Linked DNA regions of Tribolium castaneum. The main gene of each other region encodes a partner of the protein of the gene in region 2 in a complex. Links are inferred from orthologs where the notes say so. Each region holds a gene or a part of one and is shown on either strand. Other genes may lie near its edges.

Evidence for each region.
Region 1: Tfb5 (region 2) and Polr2L share a complex: the UniProt entries of both Homo sapiens proteins name them as parts of the TBP-based Pol II pre-initiation complex. The link is inferred for Tribolium castaneum from reciprocal best matches to the Homo sapiens genes GTF2H5 and POLR2L.

Annotation. Positions count from the first base shown.
Region 1 is NC_087394.1:15,046,478-15,054,459, forward strand, and holds Polr2L (RNA polymerase II subunit 10), read right to left. Parts: upstream 4,033-7,982; coding exon 3,829-4,032; downstream 1-3,828. Other genes in the region: Sumo (small ubiquitin-related modifier 3), read left to right, coding at 4,693-4,710, 4,797-4,916. UniProt on the Homo sapiens protein: DNA-dependent RNA polymerase catalyzes the transcription of DNA into RNA using the four ribonucleoside triphosphates as substrates.
Region 2 is NC_087399.1:6,495,072-6,504,441, forward strand, and holds Tfb5 (general transcription factor IIH subunit 5), read right to left. Parts: upstream 4,859-9,370; 5' UTR 4,752-4,858; coding exon 4,717-4,751; exon of another isoform or gene 4,670-4,716; coding exon of another isoform or gene 4,288-4,669; intron 3,827-4,287; coding exon of another isoform or gene 3,600-3,826; exon of another isoform or gene 3,594-3,599; intron 3,573-3,593; coding exon 3,386-3,572; 3' UTR 3,301-3,385; downstream 1-3,300. Other genes in the region: heix (ubiA prenyltransferase domain-containing protein 1 homolog), read right to left, coding at 1,896-2,876; meiotic nuclear division protein 1 homolog, read left to right, coding at 3,600-3,826, 4,288-4,669; hydroxyacyl-coenzyme A dehydrogenase, mitochondrial, read left to right, coding at 5,289-5,402, 5,457-6,033, 7,757-7,995. UniProt on the Homo sapiens protein: Component of the general transcription and DNA repair factor IIH (TFIIH) core complex, which is involved in general and transcription-coupled nucleotide excision repair (NER) of damaged DNA and, when complexed to CAK, in RNA transcription by RNA polymerase II.

The DNA.
Region 1 (7,982 bases), on a different chromosome or scaffold from region 2:
CAGTGGCTGAAATTTCTGTGTTGTTGAAAAAGAAATCAGTATTCGCCTATGAAAAGTGTCGTTGGCCTTTTTGTGAAATGTTATTTATGAAACTTAAAGTTCAAAGAATCGTCAATAATTTGAAGACACAGGAAGCGAACCTGAACTAAATCGAGTGAGGACAAAACAGGTCACTGGAAACGAAGCAATAGTTGGGGCTGTAATTCAAGCTTTTGAAGAGAATCCAATCAGCAGTGTACGAAACATTTCCAAAGTCCTGAATGTTCAAGTGTCTAAAATTTTTCAGTTGTTGTTCAGTCTTTTAGTCTTTTTTAAAAGAATTAAAGCATCCAGTACCAAAAGTAAGTCACAAATATTGTTTTTTTAACTTTGTATGGGTGAGAGATAATTGTGAAATGTCCCTTGCGTGACAGTTACGTTTCTGCGAGTAGGATTGACCAAAATTCATTTGTTTCATAGAGATCTAGGCTTTTGCATTTGTTTAACAGTTTGTTTCTCATTTTTCACGCGAAACAGATGTCTTTCACGAACGAGTTTTTTCTGACAGCATTTTTCACTGACGATATTTTTTTTAATATAAGTCTTACAAGGCTTGATATTTTAAAAAGGCATGTAAAAATTACGTTTTTAAGACTTGAGTTGTTGTATTAATTGGATTTTAATCTTTATCTTCTAAAATATCTGCATTTTAAATTTCATAAAAATCCGTTGACAAATATCTGAGATATCAGGCTCGAAAGTCTTAGCTGAGACACCCTGTACTTTTGTCTTGCTTTAACAGTTAAGTCCGTATTCCCACTTGATTTCTCAAAAATTTACATTTTTTGTAATAAAACAGGATTCACTAGTCAACTTACTCTGATCGTTCTATTTAAAAAAGTAACAGCTTAGTTCTCTTATATCTCTTACGATATAATACTACTTTTTTTTTGTAAAATTAATTATTTCGTAAGGACTAATCTGGCGTCAAAAGAGTCAAGATTAATTTAAGTGTATTGTTCTCGGACCACTAATAAATAATAATAATAACAATAATAGTACTATGTGTCCAGTGATATTAAATCTAAAAGTTTACTTAAAATCCCATGTGACATAAGATTTATTTTATCTTATTAACTTTAAATTTGTTGCTTTCTCATGGTTAATAATTAGTCAAACTAGAGTTTAACAAGTAGTCATGAAATAACTGTATTTTGTATTAATGTTCTAGTGATGTATAACACACTTGTTGATTATACACACTATGCACTGAAAAAAATCGGCATTTAAAAATTACGATTAGATCATAAGACTAATATCATCGAAACTAATAAATAAATATTTGTCTGACAAAGGAGTCTATTTTAATCGCACGTCCGTACGTAAGAATCACGACTCAATTTGATCTGATTTTCTCTGTTTGAATCAGTTTCCAAATGATTTTACGTTACATCACACTTACAGTGCTGTCCATTATGAAATTTGTTCTGTACAGGTTTATTGTTTGAATAATAAATAAATACAAAAATTATCATTTTTGTTTCTTTTAACACAAATAACCGCACTCGAACCTCAAGGAAGGATAGTTAGTTTGTGCTTCACAGTTTACAATTAACTCAGCTGTCACAAGCTAAATCACAGTATCTTCTTTTTATTTAATTTTTAACTAGACCCAAAATTAACTTATTTAACCAGCCTCTTTGAATGACTTACTCATAGTTATTGCTGTTATTAGTTTAGAGAGTGTATGCTGTTTTTCCATTTAAACCGTTATTCTTACACCAATCTAATTTTACAATGGCAATCAATTGGATTTTCAAGCGTGAAATTTTTCTAAGTAAATTTGTCTTTCATTCAAAACGTTACTATTTCGCAAAAAATTAACCAAATTAAAGGTAAAAGTTTAAAATTGAATACAGGATGATCCAGCCCAGTTCCCGTCTCCTGTAGCTCAGTTATTATTAAAGTTGGAGTTTTGATATTTTGTAGATATTACTTATTTATACTCTAGGACACATTTCAGGAAAATATATTAACTATATAGTGTCCTCAAAAAGTATGACATCATAATAATAATTTTTTTATGGCATCCTATTATTTTTTGTGCTCATTATGATATTTTTTTAGCTTCTTACATGTCTCTATTTTTTTCAAATCGGTTAGGAGATTACTGTTAAAAAAATACAAATTAAAAAAACACGGTTTTACACCTTTAGTTTTAAAAATCATTAAAAAATAGAAACAACTTTAATAGTAACTGAGCTGCAGAAGACGGGTGCTGGGCTGGACCACCCCTGTATATCTTAAAAAATCAAAACCTAGAAAAATATGAAGCTGGAAATCTTGAAAAACTATAACTAAAAATGAAATTTATACATATTATCCAATTTATGATGATAGTAAGATTTTTTGGTTTTGGTTAGAAAAATTATTGTCTTTACACACACGAGTTTCTAAAATTTCGTGATTTTGAAGTGGATGGTTTTTAATTTTTCAGTTATTTATACAATCTTTTTTATTCCACAGATTTTTTTACAGTTTCAGCAAATAGTCGACTTTTACGTGAAACACGCAAACCATGTACAGGGTGTGCCAAAACGCAAAAAGTTGAATAACTCTTTTTTTTCAAATGGAAGGATTTGCATAGCAAATTTAAAACGTTTTTCGAGATTTTTCAAAAAAATATTTTATTACAAGGAAATTTGTTATTCTACAATGTGATAAGTCAAATTGTAATTTATTTTTTGACATGTACCAATGTGACTATTTACATTAATAATTTAATTATTACTTGAAACATAAATGAAATGAAGAAAAAAAATAAGAGATATTTCTAATTTGTTGTACAAATCGCATATCATTGGATAGTGTAAAGAAATAGATAGTGTTCCATTTGAAAAAAAAAATGTTATTCAACTTTTTGCGTTCTGGCACACCATGTACATTACCTGCGTGTTTCAAGTAAAAGTCGACTATTATTAAAATTACGGGATATTCTGACTTATTCTGTTGCAAATTTATCGGAAAATATTCATAAGCGACTTCGCAGTGATTTTTCTAAAGATGGTCTTTTTCATAACGAGAAGTTGAATAATTTTAAAACGAAAAGAGATAAACCCATAATAGTTTATTTAAAGTTACATTACTTTTTGCATAGAATATAATTATGTGAAAATGTATGGGGTGTTTCATTTCAAAAAATATAACTCTAGTAAACCAGGATGTATACAACACCCTGTGTATAATAAAAAAAAGATAGTTTGTGGACTTTAAGTCTATCTATAGAATAATGAAAACGAAAACATGGCAAAATTTCAAGTAACAAAAAAGTTACAGACCGCACCCCTGAGTCACCCTGTATCTTTTAAAAAAATCACCAACAATTATTGTCTTATGGTGTTACAAACACTTAAATTAGCAAATTATACAATAAATAATTTAATATTAATCATATTAATATTATTAATCACTGGAAACAAAACAACAATTAAAATGGTTGCTAAAGAAAACAAATACAAGAATGATAAAAAAATCAAGTTGCTTGGGAAAAGATCTGACTTCATTTCTAAACTTTACTGGACATCCCTTATCACCATATCGACACTTTCTTGACCCTCTAGACATGGTTGAATTAACAAAGATAATGCAATTTTTTTGAATAACTTTATAAAAATAAACAAAAAAGTTACCGTGAACTCGTGAAGTAGGAAAAACTAAATAGGATGTTGCAAAAATGCTGGTTTATGAAAGACAAGGCATAATAGTAAAATTTATTCAAAAACGCGCCTTTTTACATGCCATAAAATTAAACTTACACCTACACTTACTTAACAGACTTACTACTACAGATTACTTCTCTAAAGGAGCATAATTCAATAACTTTTCAATAAGATCGACGTGTCCAAGAAGCATTCTTCTGCAACAGTACCTCTTCAAACCCAAAGCATCCAAAGCATCTCCTTCCGTATATTCAGCTTGCAAAAGCCCAAGATAAGCCTCCCATTTATTTCCAATAACTTTCCCACAAGTAAAACAACGAACCGGTATAATCATCTTGTCTCGACAAAACCTGAAAAAATATAACCTAATTTTTCACTGACACATCAAAAATTAACCAAATTCTGTACCTCACACTCTCGCTTAATCAAAATTTGTTGCGTTGGTATTTAGACTTTAAATTAGATTACTTTCAAAAAGCTTTAACTGCGCTTTTCTAGAAGCTTTTTGATTTCTAATTTCGTGAATTTCTGGGTTCTTCACTTCTGGAATATTGGTGCTCCTGATCAATTGAAGCTTGTGGCCTGCCATCTGTCGACGGCAATAACAAATAAGGATTAATTTCTTGATTAAATTATTAAAAAATCGCAGAAAACATGTGAAAGTTATATTGAAAACAAAGCCTAATTTTTTGTATTAATTTACCGCGTTGTTTCAAGCACGTTTTGTCAACGTGAAGTGGTAAATTTCTACAAATGTTTCAAGCGGAAGTGTGAAGTTTGAACAGCTAAAGCCGACTTTGACTAACCGCGTAGTCACTTCCGGCGAGCAGTTACCGCTACTTTGCAAGCAAGCCGGCCATTATTTGTTAGCGGCAAGCTGCGTGTCTGTTGATAAAACGGTTAAAAGTGCACCAAATTCCACTAAAACCGTTTACATTTGTGCATCAACTTCGGCCCCAGACCCTCCTACAAGCCACAACCAAATTTGCCAAATATGGGTGACGAAAAGAAGGTAAACATGACTTTTCTTTCCTAACCATAAACGAGGTTTTTTTCCCGTAATTTTGAACTGATACTCACGTTTTTGGGACTTTGCAGAGCAATGAAACGGAACATATCAACTTGAAAGTACTGGGACAAGATAATGCTGTCGTCCAGTTCAAGATCAAAAAGCACACCCCTCTCAGGAAGCTGATGGGGGCTTATTGTGAAAGAGCGGTAAGTGTTACACTTTATCTCAGATTCTTTAGTTTATTACTGGGACAAATGAGTAAGAACATGGATTGTGATTCATACTTGTGTTTACTAAAATGTATCAAAAGCCGCATCCTTTCTCCAAGTCTTTAATGTGCCATGATTTGCATTTTTTTCATGTTTGGACGTCTGAAACCGCCACATTTGTTGCAACTCAACTTCTTAAATGTCTAAACCAGGATTTGTTAATGTTTGTTCACTCCTGTGCGTAGTGATTGGTTGTATTCGGAAATAAAATTAACTAGACGCCCTCTGGTGACGACTTTTGAACTATGTCGAAAACAGTAACGAAATTTTCGTAATTCAATATTTAATTTAATTTTTTAATTTAACAATTTTGCGTGTGTAGTGTTAATTACTTACAGTAGAGAGAATCACTTTAAGGTAGTTGGGGCCTTACAATCGGAGCAAAAAGTTAGGCCAAAAGAATATATGGTGCCACAGTGTATAGTATCCACAGTAACCAACCCAAAAATTTTTACTGTGAATGTACTGCCCTGGCCAGTCATAACTCATTTGTGGAATGTGACAACACTGTCGGAGTTTCGATTGAAAATGTCAAATGTGTCAAATAATTACATCACAAAGGAAGAATTATTAGGCTAAAACCATCGATAAACGATGAAAAGCTACAGCGGTTTTACTGTAAACGCGTCCTATTTTCGAAATTTAACCGAAAAAAACCGTAATTACATCTTCTAGGTGGCCCCTGTGGCACGCTCACCTCGTAGGAACAGCCATTTTTAATCTATTTACTTCCTAACTATCCCGAACATAGCTCCAAAGTCAAAAATTCTGTGTCGGGATATTTGTTTTGTTTGTTAACTGATTCAAAATTCATTTTTAGCGGTTTTACAGATGCGCTGTGTTGCCAGTTCTATTTTAGTGTAACCCTTTTACTACAAATTTCTTATCGTTTATTAATTAATATCTCCAAAATTTGGACGGTGACCCCCAGTTTTTTTCCCCTTAAAATACTTATTTGATGTTGCTGAATGATGATTTAGTTTTTAAAAAAAATCTTAAGAAGGGTTTGATAGCTATACCAAAAAACGTACAAAAAAATTTTGATTCACCATATGCCGCAATGTAAAAGAGTCAAAAACTCAATTTTCAAAATTCAATGTCTCCGAAACTAGACGGTCAATCTTTTTCATTTTTGCACCATCGATATGGAATTCTTTGAACAATAATCTGTTAAAATTTAAAAGAAATCTTAAGAATGTTAATTTAGGCACCAACTACCTTAAAAGTACGTGGTGGTAAATACTAGCTTTGACTTTGGTTCTGCGGTTTTTCGTGGTATAAAGTGTTTATTCTTGGAATTTGAAAGTGGATAAAAAGTGAAAAAGATTTAAATTTTGATTACAAATTAAAGTTGTCAAATTAAAGACCATAAGTAATGGATACAGCGAACACAAAGTTGGGCTCAGGAAACCAATAAATTAGTGAAGTGTGTGAATTTTAGATTAGAATTTTTCCACAGGAAAAATCATGAAATACATTGGTAAATTTACAAAACTACAATTAAGATTAAAAACTGCTGAGACATTTAAATGTAAATTATGTCAAAAGGTAGGCTTTTCGATGCCTTTGTAATAATTTTCCAATAAAAAAGTGAACCAAGCAGTCATTCGTTATTCGTGTTTTCCTCATCATCTCTAATTTGTCAACATTCGTTTCTTGCACCAAAGATACAATAGTCATCCCGTATAGACAATGAAATAATTGTGAAGTTTCAAAATTCGTACAACGCTCAAAATATTCGAATAAAAAATTTCCCGCCATTTATGGTTAATGCTTTCGACCTAGCTCAGTGGCACCCCCAACGGTAATTTTACTTCCGAATAACTAGAGTAAGTTAAGTAACGCATAAAATTCATATTTTTGTTGGGAGTCATTTTCAAACAAAATTTCAAAAAACATCCTCGAACATGTCGATTTTATATTTGTAAATGTTACATCATAGTCACATTTGTGACATCACTGGTTTCTGAGTAATGACGTCATTTTTAATTATTTTAAATGGAAATCGACATTTTTGTTCATTGTTTTCAATAGTTTTAGCTGTTTCAAAACTATAATAACGCCAACGTTACATTTTCCTGAATTATTTTTTTTAAATAAGATTGATAAAATTGTGAAATAGTTATTAATGATTAGATCTCTCATTGAAAATATAAATCACATTAGCTATTATTTTTTTGAAGTACATGAATATTTTATAACTGCTAATTTTGAAAGAAAGTGCGATGTTGGCGTTTTTATAGAACGTGTATCAGAACTCACTCCCCAGAGAAAAGGGGGACGTGGCGTAGACAATTAGGTGTCTGTAAATGTTGACAAAAAAAATCCATGTTGAACGTTGTTCGAATAATAGGACTATGAAATCCACCAATCCCAGAAGCTGAACCTCAGTAATTATTTTGAATCAAAATAGGTTGCCAGGCATTAAAAATAAATATATAAATAATAATGTAATAAATAAATATTACAGTAATTCTTTGGTAAACTGCAAAAAACTGTCATATTGACAAAATCTAAACGACGTTTTGACAGAATTTATAATACAGAGTGGATTATTATTTCTGAAATGATCTTAGATGCAACCAAAAATACCAATTCAAGCATTCACTAGATCTCTGACTTTTAACAAAGCAATTGGCTCAGCCTGTATAACAACACCATTCAAAATTTTTCATTCACGTTTTAAATAAATACAAAAGAAAACCTATTAAACTAAGGACTACTATTTAACTAATTAATATTATATTCCTTAATCTTTCTGATAAGAATTCGAAAATAAAATTAACTAGACGCTCTCCGGTGGCATTACTTGTCGAAGTGTAACGAAATTTCCGTAATTCTTCATTTAATGAATTATTTAACCATTTTGTGGGTATGTTGTTAATTTTTTACATTGGAGAGAGTCAGTTTAAAAGAATGTGGTGGTCGTGGAGGGAGAAACTTCTAGAGAGAAGGTGCCCTATACCGCCAATATTAGGTTCTTAGCGATCTACAAACACCTTT
Region 2 (9,370 bases):
AATAAATTATTTGATATTTTTACGCAGACTTTTCCGTTATTGTCAATTGAAGTAGTCTGAGCAGTGACTGGAAGAGATGCGATTGCAGCGCCCCCAAACGTCAAATGGCGCCTACTACCACTACCAAGCGTTTCGTTTAATATTAGTCTAGACACACAAAATAAAAACAAACGGAAATTATAATGATTTACTATAAAATCTCTTACACAACGTCATACAAAACTCATCAACATTAACAATAAATTAATCAGCTATAAAAATACATGATTTATAATTGGCCAATCAGGGACTAAACCCCGCCTTGAAAGAGCCAATCACCTGATTAGGTTCAGTCACGACCAGAAAGAATGTCACCCCTACGAACCACAGCAATGATCTTTTAGGTCATAAATGTAAATTTCACATCATCGAGTGTTTTCTCGACTATTAGATTTTAGGCCCCAATGATATTAAAATCGTATAATATACATGTAATTAGAGTCGGCGTACAGAAAACAAGTTAAAATTTATTCCAACGTTAAATTAATTCAAAGTAAGTTACCATTTACCTTGCATTGACAAAGTCAATCTATAGGAGTATGTTCATATTTGAAAACTAAAACAGTGAATTTATAATTAATTCCAATAATAATTTTTCATTTAAAATTTAAAAAATTGTTTCTAAGCAAACATAATAGTTATTTAACTATTTGGCATTTTTCAATACGAAATGTCTGACTATTCTAACAGATTTAAAGCAATTTCAAGCCTTGTTGAGTCAAATTCGAAAAATAAATGTTGTATTCAACTCGTTTTCATGTAAATCGATTAATAAAATAATTTTTTTTATTACGAATATATAGAATTGGCCAGCAAATATCGAATTTACCTTTGCAAAGTCAAATCAGTCAAAAATCTGTTGCTTCAAAACTGTAAAGTTTACTTTAAATTTTGAGGTTTCCAATTTTTTTTTTAATTTGGCCAAATAAATGAATTTCTAGCTTAAAAGTGTAAATTTTGCAAAACCTTTAACTTTGTACACATTTTCTGTGAAATAATTTTTCCACGGCCAACATGGCTGCTTTATCCGGCTCGAAGGACCAAATATTAGTAAGTTCATATTGATAGAATCCATAAATGGAGAAACATCGTTATTATTTTTTGCAACCGTTTTGAATAAAGAAAAATTCCAGCCGAGGCGAAGCCGAGTTTCTTTAACAACTTGCGGTTAAAAACGGATGATTCGTTTTAAGTAAGACCCCATTTTCGGTTTGTCTGTGAGCGACTTCGTCCTTTTGTATAATCACTTTTTTTTAGAATTTTATTGGTAAATACTTGACAAAAGACTAGGACTTTTAGAAACATTAAATTAAAGGCAAAATTTCTAACAAAAAAAAGATTATTTAAAGATAAGTAAAAATTTATAACAAAAATGTTTCAAAAAATAGAGGGTACTATTTAAAATTTTAAATTAAAAGTGGCTAACAACTGGAACAGAATGTAACTAACGTTGGTTTTGAACTTTAGTACACCTACTTTTGTTTAAAAATAAGTAAATAAGTACTACTTAAAAAGCTAACACATTACGTAATACAGTTTTGATCATACTTGGAGTAAATAGACTACATTTATTAATTTACACGATTAGAATATCGTTGATGTTACAAAAGTAAAAACCCGAAATCATGTTTATTGACGTTTACGACCCAACAGTTTATAGGGATGACATTCTTTATGATCGTGACTGTTCATTGTCATAAGTACAATAATCTCGACGTAACAAACGAAAATGAGAAGGTATTGCGGCTTGGACCCCAAGCCGCAAACCCGCACTAGCGCCCCCTTTTGACGCAGTTCCTCAACACAGTAAAAAATAACTTAATAGAAATAAATACAACTAATAAGAGCTCGTACATCTATCTTTTGGTGACGTACGGCAGCGCTGGAACCAAACTACAGGCCAGCACGTACAAAACACCGAAAAACAAATTCAATTTGGCAGTCTTTTTGGGCACACTGTGTATATCGTTGGATCTGAACTGTTTTTCGATTTTAAAAGCGCTAGGAAGCGTGACTAGAGGCAACATGAACCATTTCGAGTATTTCAACGAGGCCACCATGAACATGATATACGGGGTGAACAACAAAAACGCGTACAAGACGTGCGAGGCAGTGTGGCCGATAATAATCGCCAGAGTCACAATTCCCACCTTTTTGTCCGACTCAGAGTCCCTTGTGTTATTACTATGTAAAATCGCCTCAGTATTAAGGGCCAGAGGGATGGCGTAGTAAATCGTCGCCCACTCGACGCGCCCCGTTTGCGACATGAAGGCGAAAAGCACCGAAATGGGGCCGAACAAAATCAAAATAAGCACATCCCCGAGGGCTATATACTTGAAGCCTATACCTCCCGTGTAGAGGAAGCTCGACGACAGCCCCCCGAAATAGACCAAAGCCAAGTGCTCCATCTTCGCGGGGCTCAACGCCGCCAAGAGAATGAACCCCACACAGCCGGCAAAGTATAAAAGGGCCCCCAGAGACACCACCTCGTCTTTGGTCAGAATGTGGTCCACCAGGATCCGGTCGTCCGATTTCCGGTTGTCGATCCCCTTGACGTAGTCGAAGTAGGTGTTGACGACGTTTCCGGCGCCGTGCACCGACACCACGGTGAAAATTGTGAGCAGGAGGGTGGCGTAGTTGAAATCGGTAACTCCGGGGTATTTGTACGCTATGGTGGAGCCCAACAGTGTGGGCATGAGACTGGCACTGAGGGACCACGGACGCAAGGCTAGCACGTAACTTGATAGCTTCATGAGGCCCGATTTTTGGCCGTTTTGGCGCTTGGGAGTGGTGGAGCCATTGGTGAGGAGTTTCTCGCTGGGGGTGGGCACCGTCATGATGGGGGTAAATGCACTGACACGGAACTTAACACACTTGATGATTTGTGGCCGAGAAACGCGTTTTTTCGTTTTATAACTTTGACAAACGGAACATAACCAAAGAAGTCAATTGTGACGTTTGACATGTGGCTGTGGTTACGTCACGGCGGCTATTAAATCAGGGAAAAATTATAATTAGTGACACGTTTCCGTTATCTATTGCTTAATTCTATTCTTATCATTTGTGTGTAAAAATGTTCGTGATGGCGTAACAACTGTAGAATAGTCGGTTATCAAAGAAGCGTAATTGTAGCCACTTCCAATTTACAGGGAACTGTATTATTTGTACCGACAATTTGAAAAAACAGTTAATTAGTGCCTTATTGCGTAAGTATGGACGAAAACCGGCCCGCAACGATATTATTTATAGCAAAACACGTCATTATATAAATGCTGCGCTTTTTATTTATAATTCGAATGACCACACATCAATATGACATAACCTCACTTTTGCAAATTACAAAAAATTAATTGCTTTTTTCGGCGACTGGGAAGCTAATTTGGTCCATCAGATCGTCGATTTTTGCCTGTAATGTCTCTAAAATATCGGCTGAAATAAATAAGTGGTTTTCATCCAAGTCCTGAATTATGAATTTTCGGCCTAGTTTTGTAGTCTCATCTAAATACAAAAGGAATTGTTTCATGGCCTGGTCACTGAAACAACGCATTTTTTAGGGGAAAATGTTCAAGAAAAAAGGTCTAAGTTTTGAGGAGAAAAAGGCTAGGATGTTGCAATTGTTTCACGAGACTGGGGATTTTTATCAAATGAATGAATTGGAAATAATTGCGCCAAAGGAGAAAGGAATTACGGCGAATTCTGTGAAAGAAGTGGTCCAAGCTTTGGTGGATGATGGTTCTGTTGATAAGGATAAGATCGGGAGTTCCGTCTACTTTTGGGCTTTTCCCAGGTAAATATTATACAGGGTGTCCGTTTTTTTGAGAAGTTGTGCATTTGTATGCAAAACAATTTCTGAAAGAAAATTTTATGTGCCATTTTTAGTTTTTGAATTATTGAGAGAAATTTAAAAAAATGATTTTCGTTTTTATTTTTTTCCCATAAAAAAAACGAAGTTAAGTGTTGTAACTCTGACATCAAGCAAGCCTAGGAAAATCCGATGACAAATTTAGATTCCTTGTAAAAAGTGCCCGAAAAAGTCCTACGTCTAGTTCTTTTGGTTTTCACTTGAAAAAATAAAAACGAAAATTACAATTTTTTTTTTCAAATAATTGTTCAGCATAAAAATGCGCAACTTTGCCCTAATTTAACCGACCTCGTATCTCTTATAATAACGGAGATCACTGAGATAACTGGGAGAGTGTCCGAAAAACGGTATAGACGGGCCAAAAACACGTTTTATCCTAATTACAGCAAATTACTTAACGCGAAAAAACGCAAACTTAACGAGCTTCAAACGAAATTAGAATCGTCAACAAAAAAATTGAAATTAATTGACGAAACTATGGAAAAAGCGCAGGTGGGGAAAGAGAATTGGGACGACAGCCAGATTTTGAAGGAAATTGAAAAACTGGAAAAACAGAAAGAAAAATTCGAATCTCTGTCGAAATCTCACACAGATACTCAAAATTTGAAATTAATGCAAAGTGAGATAAAACCGGTAAAAGAAGCAGCAAATCGATGGACTGATAATATCTTCGCGGTCAAATCATGGTGCAAAAGGAAGTTTATGATGGAAGATAAGGTTTTAAATAAGCAGTTTGGGATTCCCGGAGATTTGGATTATCTGGCATGATTGAGGTTATGTCAAACAAAAACTCAAAAAAATTGTTAGGGCCTTACCAGGTCACCAAAACGCCTTTCATTACATTAACCATTGTTGATAATCGAGAATTGTGTACTTTTTTAAATCAGAAATAAATTATTTTTCTTACAAAAGTTGGTGTTTTTATGACATTTGACAACTTATAGAATGCAACTAACCTCTCACACGTGTATTGCTGATTGCATAATCACAAATTTCCCCAAAATTATATTTTTTTTCAAGTATTTCTTTGAAAAAAGTGGATAAATTGATAACAGGGATTGCTATATAGCCCCATTTTGGAACCCTCCTGTGTACCACTTGACTGAATGATGTTGCACTTTTATTACATAATACCTAAATAAATTCAGGTACAAAAGTCGCACTCGTTATCGAAAGCGGATTATTTTTAAACCATCGGCACGATGATTTTCACTTCTGAGCCCTAATCTCGCCATAAACGATAAAATGATTAAAAAGTACACAAACGTAGCGGTGGGAGTCGATCATAGGTTACAAACTTGGACTTTCACCTAGTTATTGTATCGTTAATAAACCAAACAAAATCCGCATTACACACCACTTTTTACTCGTAACCGAACGCGAAAAAATGGCCCTAAACCTGTTCATCAAGCGAAGCCTTTCAACTTCAAGCCCCATGAACGCAGTTATAAAAAACGTAACTGTGATCGGGGGCGGCCTCATGGGCTCAGGCATCGCCCAAGTAAGTGTACCCCAAACCACCCGAACCTAACCTAACATTCGCCCCCTTGCTTAGGTGGCCGCGCAAACCGGCCACAACGTGACCATCGTGGAAGTCAACCCCGACTTGATCAAAAAAGCCGAAGACAGCATTGCGAAAAACTTGGTACGAGTCGCCAAAAAACTCCACAAGGATGACCCGCAAGCCGCTAATAAATTCGTGAGCGAATCGCAGGCCCGGATTAAGGGGTGCACCGACATTGCCGAAGCTGTGAAAGACAGCGATTTGGTCGTGGAGGCGATTGTTGAAAACATGGATGTTAAGCACAAATTGTTCAAAAATTTGGATGAGGTCGCGCCCCCCAAAACCATGTTTGCGTCAAATACGAGCTCGCTCTCGATTACCGAAATTGCCTCCGTTACGAAGAGGAAGGATAGGTTCGGGGGGCTGCATTTTTTCAATCCCGTGCCCGTTATGAAGCTTTTGGAGGTTGTTAGGACTCCGGAGACGTCGCAGGAGACGTACGAGGCCTTTATGGCGTGGGGCAAAGCCGTGGGCAAGACCTGCGTCACCTGCAAGGACACCCCCGGGTTTATTGTTAACAGGCTTCTGGTGCCCTATATAGCAGAAGCCATCAGGATGATGGAGAGAGGTAATAATTATGTAATATTGAAGCTCGAAGCGAAGCTGAGAGCTTTAAGGTTGCCAAGCTTGTGGCAAATACAGGCGTTCAATAAATCTGATACGACTTGAGTTACACAAAACGAAATGAATTTTTGAAAATATTTTTATTGCCAATAAGGCTCTACGAATGGAAAATAAATCGAGTTATAAAATACCGAAAAATTCTTCAGACTTCAGACTGTCAAGATGAAATTTAGGATTTTTTTTCCAAGTAAATTTATGTCAACCCGGTTTTTTTTCTTATTGGATTTTGAGGTTTTTTTCAAAAACTTAGCAAAATCTACTGGTGAAACAACATTATGATTAAGAACTATGTATTTGTTGAAGGTCATTTTTCAAAAAAATCCTCGAACAGGTCGAGCTTATTTTTGTAAATGCTACATGGTAACATTTGTGACATCACTGGTTTCTCAATAATGCCGCTATTTTTAATTTTTTTAAATGGGAATCGATATTTTTGGTTACTGTTTTTTATAGTAGATATTACTCTTTTATCTTTATAGTAAGTGCAAAAAATTGAAGTGATAAATAAAAAATTTAGAAAAAAAAAAAATTTTATAAGGGGCGATTATTTTTTTGCTTATTTTGAAAAATCAGAATAATATGAATTTTATGCGTTACTTTAGACACACTCTATATATCCAAAAATGCACAATATAGGGTGTTTTATTTAAAAAATATATAAATTTGCATTGTACCTAACATTTTTTGCTAATCTTTTATTGAAATATTTTAACATAACGACAGTTAAAGTTTGATTCAATAACTTAACCTTCACCAATATAAAAAAAATTAGCTGAAAACAATACTATCTTATAATGTTATATATTTTTTCTACTCCCATTCCTGAAGTGATTGATTAAAAATGTTTGTGACCTGTACTTTAATGAAAATCATTATGATACTGGCTTGTAACCAATGGTAATGCAGAGTAGTGACCACGAGGACAACTTGTGACCAATGAGAATGTAACATGGCAGCAACTATTAGATTGCCTTGAGTCTGACTTTAAAAATAAATTAATCATTTTGAAAAAAAATGCAAGTCTTTTAATTTTAATCAGTCGGATCGTAAAAAAATAGTGTATGTAACTCGCATTTAATTTAAAACACTCGTACGACACTCGCTAAGGCTCGTTTCATAAAGTTGCTATTTAAGTTGCATTAACCAATGTCAAATTACTAAGTATTCTGTTAATCATATACTAAAATTTGATTTTTAATTTTGTGGAAAAACAAATGTTTGAAAATTTCAATACACAAAATCGTTAATCTCGTTTCTAATTTTCTTTTTATAAAAACCCGATTTTTAAAATTTTACTATGAATTAATATTTTATTTTAGGTTTGTTATGTAAGCGAGCTAAATTTTTAAATTACATTTAAATAAATAATTAATATGTGATCAATGTTGTGGCAAATAAAGTTTTTCTAATTGTTAGTTAAAAAATTTGTAATTTGTATAGTTTCATTTTCAAAAAAATTTGCATACATAATTTTTAGAAATTTCTCAATATCGGTAAGTAGTACTTTATGAAGGCAAATACTAGTCAAGACAGTAACATCTCTAAATAAAAAAAATAAGGAAAACGGCATTACCTTACTATTTTTTTTAACGGCAGTATACAGTAATTACAAGTCAAAATTTTGAAAGGCTGTTAACACAAAAAATATGTATGAATTTTTTTCGAAGGTGATGCTTCGCCCCGCGATATCGACACCGCCATGAAGCTGGGGGCTGGCTACCCCATGGGCCCCATCGAACTGGCCGACTACGTGGGACATGACACCTCGCACGCCATCATGCAAGGCTGGCACAAGAAATTCCCTGATAACCCCCTTTTCAAACCGAACGAATCCGTACAAAAACTAATCGATGAGAAAAAACTGGGCGTGAAAACCGGCGAAGGCTTCTACAAATACACCAAATAAATATCTATATGTATTTTAATCAAATAAACAATTTTTTAATTGATTTGTTTACTGATGTCGATTTTTCCTCGTGTAAAATACTGTTGGCAAAGCCGCGAAGGTTCGATCGGATGTCATTCATGCCGTTCTATTTTCGTAAACCGAGTGATTTATTTTATTGAAAAGGTCTCCTCGAGTCGCAAAAAGTCAGTCATCGTTTTATTATCGTCGTATTGTCGCTATAAAAACACATCTTTAATGTGTGTTCTTAAAGTGGAGTGAAGGACGACTTAAAAATACATGCACAGAGATTGGGCGAATTAGCGGCGAGTACACGATTTTTTCGAGTAAATAAACTTTCGCGATTTCCGGTTGAAAAAACAATTAACACGTGGGTGCGAACGTTGATAACATTTCCGTGAAATCGCAGTCAATGCAATCGATACATCCTGTTTGAGGAGATGAGCGAAATTTATTTCGGCGGTAAGTTGAGGGCGGTTCTCGGTAATTCCCCTAATAAACACGTCATGGCAACAACAGACCTAAAAATCTAGTTCAAATTTCGCGCCACAATGCGTTGGCAATGAAAAAATTAAACAAACACTTGTGGTGTCAACAACAGTTGGCTAGATTAGCCGTTTCGTACAAATTGCCAACATAAATCGAGTGGGATTTTCTGGCGAAATTTCCATTTTTCATCACCGGAGAAAGGGAGTCAATTTTTTACTTCTATGGTTGGCGACAGTGCGCATGCGCCTTTTCGCGTATAAATAACTCGTCAAGGTGTCAAATTTGCACAAATCAAAGTGACGTGGTTTTGTTCACTGTGACGGTTCAAGATTCGCCCAAAACGGTTTTCTTTAAATAAAATGAACATCTTGCAGTGCTCTTTGTGCAAATTTGGTTACAAAATACGCAAATTTTGGTTCGAAGTTGAGTAGGTTAGTGGTTTTTGTGCCCTGGACTATCACCTGGAACTGGCCACATTTTTTATATTTTATGTTGTATTATTTTTTTGAGCTTGTGTTGGATCAAATTACATATTTATAGCGTCAAAGACCCCGCTAATTGTGTTCAGGGAAAAAGTGAATCATATTCTAAAAATATTCGTGAAATAATTTTTTTTTCATATTTTTTATTCGGGGGAAAGGTCGCGAAGGGGCTGTTGACCTCCGAACAAGCGCCTAACGGTCGTGACAATTGCACTTTTTACAAATAATTGCAATTATCAGAGTGACCTATTAAATTCGCCGATTTTTATACCGGGTGTTCTGGGAAAGTTATTAGAAAGCGTCTGATAAGGATTCATGTTGCAAACTTTGTCCCTAATAAATCTAATTCAAGTCAAGTTTAAGGCTCCCAAATTATGTCACTGGAAGATTTCGCCGACTCTCTT